Linked DNA regions of Drosophila melanogaster. The protein of the gene in region 1 interacts with the protein of each later gene in a pairwise test. Each region holds a gene or a part of one and is shown in the gene's direction. Other genes may lie near its edges. The genes, in order: CG6497 and CG14598.

The links.
Region 2: the proteins of CG6497 (region 1) and CG14598 interact in a two-hybrid assay, tested with the Drosophila melanogaster proteins (one large-scale study listed by BioGRID).

Annotation. Positions count from the first base shown.
Region 1 is NT_037436.4:17,251,712-17,255,889, reverse strand, and holds CG6497 (uncharacterized protein), read left to right. Parts: upstream 1-1,952; 5' UTR 1,953-2,066; coding exon 2,067-2,723; 3' UTR 2,724-3,513; downstream 3,514-4,178.
Region 2 is NT_033777.3:7,437,615-7,442,515, forward strand, and holds CG14598 (uncharacterized protein), read left to right. Parts: upstream 1-2,145; 5' UTR 2,146-2,232; coding exon 2,233-2,247; intron 2,248-3,234; coding exon 3,235-3,909; 3' UTR 3,910-4,362; downstream 4,363-4,901.

The DNA of each region.
Region 1 (4,178 bases):
ACTATACTGCGGCGCTGTCTCTACATTTTTCAAGTTGTCTGCGTTTGACGTGCACGGATGGGCGCTCCACTGCGTCGGCGGCGGGCGAAATGGTGGCTGGCAAAGGGGGTGGCAAGGACGGCGGCGGTTGGCGTAGTTACAGTTTTGCCCATCGAATGGTTTTCCCCGCGCTCCTTGGTGCGGTTGTGGTTCGTTGCTTGGTTATCGCCAGTGCCACTACTCACACAGCCGAAGACCACTGCCTGCACCACTACGAGTGCAGCGGCAACTGCAGATGCACTCGGAAAAATCGGATAGAGCTTCCGTTGATTGATGCGTATTGAAGCAAAGTAGAATGTTTTTTTCGGTCTTGAGACCCTAAGTTATGGTCTTGAAAGAGACAATTTCCAATCAGCTTGTATCTACCTAAGGCAACTATGAAGTAAATAAAAATATATTCTAAATATACCTCATTTCTTTTAATAAAAAAAAATTAACATAATTAATTAATTAACAAAAATTAATGAAATATATAATAACACAATTTATAAGGCACACCAAATTTAATGTTTTCTTTTCGTGCCTTTAATTTGAGTTTTACTTATGAAATGTAGTTGAAAGAGTGCATTATGTGCCTATAATTTGTATAAAAGGTGAAAGCTATGAAAATATCTCACTGTCAAATATTAATTGTTTTAATAAGAAAGCACTCGATTTTTGCAAGTGCGAACCTAGCAGAAGCAGCAACAACTACTTGGGTGCTGTCGGTGAGCCTGTTTTTTAGTGCCTTCCGTAACCATTAAATTTTACGTTTTTATTAGCGCGCACACACACACATACACAGACACAGACACACTTACGCGGAGGAAGGAGGAGGAAGAGGCCGAGAGTTGGCAGATAGGCCGTCCCCACCCACTGAACTCTACCGCCCACTACCGCCCACTCCGCCAACCATTTTTGAATATTTCCGTTTTGGCTGGCAGTTTTCGGTTTTCGGCTTGTCTACAAAATGCAGTTTTGCATGCACTTTGGCCTCGGCGCAAAAAGTCAACCGAAAAGAGACAATAATAAGTGCAGAGCACAAAAGGACGAACCCGAAAAAAGGGAAAGAGCAGCATAAAACGTCGAAAAAGTAGAGCCAAGAACATGAAAACGGAAAATTGCATTGCGCTCAGAAGTATGCTATGCTTTTTTCGCTTGCCTTATCAACGTCTCAAATCGGTTAGGGTTGATAGGAAAAGCGGAGGGGCGCAAGCGGGTTACTGGCAAAACTTAGTCCAGATAGCGAAATGTTGTCGCCCAACAGGACCTGGACGTATTTTACGTATTTTAGTTGCCTGCAGCACACGCAAAAAAAAATGAAGAATACAATGCAACCCAAAGACTTTAAGACAGTTCGAGTTGCAGTCGTGGGCGGTTCCATGCGAGTTGTGGCCACTGAAATTGGTTGCATGTTTCAGGGGAACAGACCTTTACCACATGAGTGCTGTTCAAAACTGCTCAAACCTTTACAGACAACACCAATAAAGCTCAATCCCTTCAGGCCAAACAAGTTCGACCCAGCCTCGTCGAGCTCGCAACTTGTTTGGCATCCACAACATTTGGTTGCAGGGTGAACGGGCTAAAAAAAAACTCTTATACTTTTGAGTAAAACTCAATTTCAATCCAATTCAATAGCTCATTCAAATCAGAGCAATTTAAAGACCATAATAATACTGCAGAATTAATAGTTTCATTTTTGAATAGAAATAAAGAGATAATCAGAGAACGAGAGATATAGAGATTATAAATGTTCATATGGCCAATTCAATGCGTGAGTTTGTTTTATATTTATTAAAAAAATTACAAAATATTAAGAACTTAACCTAATCAAGTATAATCACAGACAAATGCCACATAAGAGGCTTGTTAAAATCGTCTTTCATTTTGCATTACTCCGAACTAAGTAGACTAATTGTATGGATCAACCTTTCGGAACATAAGTACCAAAATTAACCGAAACGAAAATTCAAACCCAGTCGGACTCATCCCCTACCAGCCAGGAACCATACACCGAAAAAAGAAGGAACCAAAGGACACAGGACATAATGGAGCTGTGGCAGAAGCTACGAGTGCAGTTTAATGACTTCTTCCACGCGAACTACCCGTACATAGCGCTCTACAGCGGACTGGGCGTGGCAGTAACAGCCTACTTGCACTACCAATGGAGCGTGCACCACTACGACCTCATGTACTGGAAGCGTTTGGCGGAGGTCTTCTCGCAGGACATCGACTGCATCCAGCTGGCTATACTGCTCTTGATCTTCGCGATCAACGCCATTTTCGTATTCATCATCCTGAGCGTCTATCTGCGCCCAGCCCTCGACAATGGCAGTGAGATGTCCTTGCTGGAGATCAAGGATCGCTATGCCCGGTTCATACTGCTCCGCCTGATAGCCCGTCTCGATCGCATACAGTCGAAGATCTCAGCGAAGCGTAAGAGCCTCACCTTCCAGCACTATGTGAGGGCACACACGAACATGGTAAAGGCGGTGGCCGTGTTCCGCAAGGATGCACGCAAGCTAATCCTGCCGAATGAGAGCGAGATCCTGATGCCCATCGAGGACATCTACGGGGTGGCTGATGACGAAGAACGACTGCTTCGGCGATCGGGCTACTACAAGCTGATCATCGACACCACCGACGAGACGGTCAAGTCTCTGTTCAACGCCAAGCTGGAGGAGATCCTGTTCCCAACCAGCTAGACGACTCGGCGGTTCCGATTGAAACTTTGAGTAAACTGCAGTCCAACACTAATTGCCTTTATCTACTCTGCCAGAGCCGCAGCTCCGAGGGCCCCTTCTTAAAGCCGTTTTATTGTTTCAATTGTTTGGCTTGGCAGCTTTTTATGGCCGCATTGTGCGCCGGGCCAACAATAACAGGCCAGTCGGAGACTGTCAGCCGTCCCCAACCCCCAATAACAATAATGGCAAAAGAAACAGCAGCAGAAACAGCAGCAGAAACAGAAGCAGAAGCAGTTGCAGAACCAGACCAGAACTAGAAACAAAACTCCAACGAGGAACAGAGACTAAACTAAAATGCCAGCCCATGTCTGCACAGCTCAAAACAATATCTAATGTTGTCTACGGCAAAATATTTTGCAAAGCGTCTTTTTGTTTTGCCCGATTTCTGTGTCCTTCAGGCCTTTGTGTGTCGACTTTTCTTTAAAATTAGCTAAAAGGTTGTGTAAATTTAACTGAAAGTGGGATAGCAGTGAAAGAAAAGCGTTGCAGGGGATAAAGGATTCTTGGAATGCATCGTGGGTACGAAAAGCAACAAGGGCGACTAGGAAATATAAATAAATTTTCTTATGGGATGATATCTAACTAAATTACATTTTCGGATGGCATGAAGTGGACTAGAGTCCGCAGTCATTAGTGATTTAATCTAGAAAAAGAGGGGAAGAACCTTTTAGGAGGAGCGTCAAATTAGCATCAATAAAATTGGGCAATAATAAATTAAATTCATAAATTCAAACACTCAACAAAATTATATAATTGACTTTTTTGGTTTGTGGTCGTACGTGCGGGCATGACAACAATCTGAAATAAAGATGCATAAATTGTTAATCTGTTTAACAGTATCTTAAGTAGTTGTAGTTCTTGATCTAATAGTACCCGATATCTCGTCGTTCATACGGACAGTCAAACGGACAGTCAAGCGGACATTGTCAGTGATTCTGACTTTATAGTGTTACATACTTTACAACTAATCTACAAGATCTAAATGTTCGAATTTTTATGTCAGTTAAAAAAAGCGTCGAGACCTATTAATTTGTAAACGAAATTGTTAATTATCTTTTTGATTGTAATACGTTATTGTACAGATTGTTGTCGTGCCATTCAAGTCTCGCAGTTAACCATTTAAAATTCACATCCTTTCATTTGCTTCAACTCGATTTCCGCAGCTGCTGCTGTTGCTCACAAAATACAACTCATATCCTTGCCAATGACTTCAAAGCAGCGCATGCTTCGCTGCGCGCCAAAAAGTAGACAACAAAAGCCTTGATAATGAAAAGCGGAAAAAACACGCACTTTTAACTTCACTTTTGGCAGCTAATGCGCGAATGGCCAAAAAGTGACAGCCTAATTTCGGTTAATGTGGCGTGTCCTTTGCTTTTGGCCATAAATCCGCACAGCACGTGTGTGGCAAACTGCATT
Region 2 (4,901 bases), on another chromosome or scaffold:
TTCATTAATTATGCGAGCCGCAAATTTAACGCTTGAATTGATTTGCGCCACCTCCATTTGACTCGTTTTAGACGAACTTACTTAATTTCAGTGCGATTGGGGTAATATGTTTTATGCGGCATTCAAATCAACTTTGCGGTCCATGTTACTTCGGCTTTAAGGAATACCATTGGAAGTTTGGAGCTCGATTGCGATGGCATATCTTCCGTCCATAAACATTGTTTATGTCACGCATTGACACTCGTCGTCCTTCTCGATGGAGCAACAGAATTTTTCGATTTATATGCATATACAAAGACAATTGAATGTGCGTGGGTGCCCAAAGGACTCCGCTCCTGCAGACGTTGTTCCGCACTGGGTGCTCGAAACTTCCGTGATGGCGGACCCGCCCCTCACGTAAATATAAATAAATACATACAAATAAATAACAGAAAGGATATGGAAGCCCCGAATGGAGTGGGTCATGGAACACAATCGAGAACAATAACAATGCCGCATAAAAATGGAGTCACGCCAATCGTCTGGTTAAGTGAAAACACTTGAACAATTCAGCCGGACCCAGTTGGGGCCGAATAAATAATTCGCTTTTGATGAATTTAAGGCACGTGAATTCCCAATAAAATAGCGACTCAATAATTAATGTAAAAATGTACAGTGCTGTTAAAAATACCTCACTGATATTTTACTTAAATCGTAAGAATTCTTGCATTTCAAGTCTTACAATTGTATCTAACAAAAAGGTTAGACTTAGTTCTAATGTCTATCACTTTAAAAAATTCAAAAACAAGGTTTTTCTAAATTTTAACAATGTATCTATGTTTTGCAAAACTATTCGTTAATTTGTCACATAAAAGTTATTTATTTCGAGTAAACATTAGCAAATATATTTTATATTATATTTATTATAATAAATATGTTCACCAAAACCAAATGCAAATCAAAAGCACGTCTTCACAGCTGTTAAATCGAGTTGGGCATCTTAAAAACTGATTAGTGAATCACCTTAAGTAAAACCATTTAACTTTATATCCGAAAAATCTGATTAATTACGACTTTAATTCCTGGTGATCCAAAAAACGTTTGGCAAAGAGCACTACAATGTTTGATGAAGCGATAAACATCTTTTAAAAATGAATCCACTTAGGCCAAATACCTCTGGCAGCACAAAGTTTAAACTATTTGCTAACGCTTATCAGAAATACCACACGAATCTTAACACTGGACTGCTGGGCAATTAATCTCGTGGAACACAGCGATCCAAAACCAAACCGAACCGAACAAAACAAAACCAAAACCGAGAAATCCGGTTGCCTCTAATGCGGCTCATAATTTATGAGCCTTCGCACGCACACAAAAAGTCTCGACGTTAGGAATCAACGCTCACATAATTTGCATAAATTGGAGATGTATCAACCGAAATTGAGGTAATAAAGCCAACAGCCGACGGAGGGCCCTATCAAATTCTGGGCTTTGATGACGGAGATGCTGATCTGCTATCGGGCCACTTGTAATTGGCACTAATTTGCTTTCACTCCATTAAAGAATCCCCCCACGATTTAAATGCAAATGAGGGCGTACCACTCGGTAGCGAAATAACAGGTTTCCTCTGCGAATACTGTTCAAATCAATTAAGGAATGGAAATAAAATCAATCTTCAAGCACGGGCATACACCCCCTTGGATGAGGAAGTGACGCTAGCTTTTATCACAATTTATGCAAACCGCTGACAAAAATGCTAATAATTACATTCTCTCCCCCCAAAATCAAGTTAAGAGCTCTCAGATGTGTGACAACCAGATATACAGAACATGAGATACGATATCATGTATCTACAAGATGCGACCGTGAACCCGAAAGAGTTCACAGCTTAATCAGCTGTTTCGGCATCTTATGCTGCGCTGCTGCATTCTGCCGAATTCTAGATTGAAAAAATCCGAAGAAGAAGCCACTTAATTGGCCAAGAGCAAGCTTCGCTCTCGCGCTCGTCTGCCATCCCAAGAAAAATAAAAATAAATTAAAACCCCCGGTTTTAATCCGGTTGTTAAACTTTACACTGAGCAACAAGATCGTGTAACTTCTGGGCCGTTTCAATTTCAAAATGGATCGCTTTGACCGACTATAAATATGCTGCGCATGCTCAGCGGCGCTTTTAGTTCGTTCAAAAATTTCAAAGTGTTCGGTACGGGACACAAGTTTTCCGCCTTAAATAAACAAATAGGATTCCTAGCAAATATGTCACTGAAATACGTAAGTGGACAACTCGTGTGCATAATTGTGAATATAAAATTGTTGCTAATGTTGTTACTGTTCTAAGCTGGTCTTTCCTGAAATAGACTCTAAAAAATGCAACAAATTGTTCTAATTAGCCATCTGCGTAAGCATCATTAGCGGAATTCCAGTTTAATGCATAAATTAAATTATGAAATTGGTCCTGAAATGAAATTAACATAATTAAATAATTTTGTACCAACAAATTTAAATTTTTTTATATCACTCATTAAATTTATGATAAAAGAGATAAAAGGAGACTGACATTTTTTTAGACGCAACAGTTTATTGTCTGAGGTGTGAACTTGCAAGTCATAACTACAAGTTACCATATACTTTCTTTCTTTTCAAACTAAAAATTTGCATAGATCTCAAGCTCGATTAGTATCTTTATCGTCGCTATGTTAATCACAAGTGGAGAGGGTCTAATGACCTTTCCCACTAGGGAAAGAAAAATGTGATTTAGAATCTAAATGCGAATAGAACTGACTATAAACTAATCCAGTTTTGGCATGTGCCTAACAATGCAAGGCTTTTGCACACTCCAAGGTCAAGTCAAATCAGATTTTAATAATCTTGAAGCTCCCACACTTTTAGAGCTATACTAACAAAGTGTTTGAAATTGGAATACATTGGAATGGTTGTGACCATATTAAACAATAGAGCCATAACTTTAATACGCACCCGTAATTGGCAGACAAATACATATCATTAAGCTGACCAGTCTCTTTTCGAAAACATTGGGTTCAACTTAGCAACAAATACTTACGATAAAAACTGCACCTTTTAGCAGGGCCTTTAGGAAACTAACTTTCAAAATAAAAAATGTTTAAATAAATATCTTTATTAATTTTGTTAGCCCAACGCAGTAGTGTTCACCTATGCGCCGAATGCATATAAAGATTACTATTAGTAGTTACTAAAAACTATAATTAACTTGTTATTACCTGTACCGTTTCATTGCAGTTACTCATTGCTTGTGCAGTGCTGATCGGATTGTGTGGAGCTGATGTGTCAGAAATAAAGGCGGTTAAAGTGGATCTGCCTTTCAATGACTTGCTACCACCGCTGCTGGATGAAGTGAGCACCACGACGACAACGACGACGACAACGACAACCACAACGACGACCACAACGGAGAAGCCAGCCACAACGCTGGCCACAAAGCCAACCAAGAAATCGTACTACCAGAAGCCAGCTCAGCTGGCAAAGGAGGATAAGTTGAAGACCATTGTCATCAAGCAGGATGTTTCACAGCTCCCTTTGGATCTACTGCCACCTTTCGAAGACGAGGTCAAGCCGGCGGAGGACAAGCTGCGGCCAGTGGTTAATACTACGCCAAAACCCGTGGTTAGGATCTCTCAGCCGTCTGTGCTCAAGGTCACTCCAAAGGCTGTTCCCAAGGTCACCCCGCCGCCTGCTCCACGTCCGCAGTACTCTGTTCAACCAGCCCTAGCATCCCGCCCACAATACTCCGTTCATCCTGCTCCTCAAGCGATACACCCTCAGCCCACCCGTGCTTCTGGTTTCGGAAGTGGATTCCAGTCCCGTTTCTCAAACTACTTCCTCACCAGTACCCCTCGACCCAGACGCGGTCCCCTGCCCACTATCACCCCTTTTCCACGCTTCGTCAGACTGTAGGAATCCATTTAATTAGATTAGATAAGCACCATTCAAAGGCCGACTTAAAATATAAAATAAATTAGATACGACACAACTGAGATAATGAGTGGAAACTATGCGGTATTATTTAAAAGCGACTGTTGAAGCATGAATTCACAACAAAGTATTCGAAGATTTCAAATGTTGATGGATTAAATAATTTATGAATGCACAAAAGTGACCATTTCGAATCATAGAGGCAACGCCATCTGTTGCTACTTCGTTATGTGAGGTTATCTGTTTTAAATTAACACCTTTGTCAAGGGAAAAGTGGAAGAAGCGCAAAATTAATTCCTAAAATAATATTTATCGTAAAGGAAATTCATACACCCTTCTTAGCGACCAATGGATAGCGTTTTACCTTTTCCAGAGCTTCATCGGCATGTTTTTAATTGTAGTACATATATTTAAAATAAACTGCTAATGCAATGTAAAAAAAAAAAACCAAAACTAATTTCCGAAATATTTCTATTAACTCTCGGTCTGTATGATAAGATTTTTCTTTTTGAAGATACAATAATTAAAAGTTGCCAAAAAAAATGATGACAGTGATATATTATGCTAGTTGACTCCAATGCGCGCAATCAACCAAATTTACTTATCAAACTTCTTAAACACCTTTCCCTTCCCCAAAAGCAAACACATTCAAGTATCTACCGCAAAAGCGGAATTCGGATTCATTAACAGCATTTAATTAATTGCTTGGCGCCGTCGGAACAGAAACTGACACTGAAAGCCGCTGTCAGCTGCCAAATAGCTACAAACGGTTTAGCCCCCGGCTAGCACACAAATACATTCATATACATAACACGGCACCCGGCACACAAATCCAAGCCCAAAACCAGGCTCAAACCGAACTCAGCTCCAAATTTCAAGCGTAAACCCAAACCCATCGCTTGACATTTGCTCAACATGCTAAATGCTAATTACTTGGCGTTGATGATGTCGCCGACATTCGGGCTGTCAGAAAT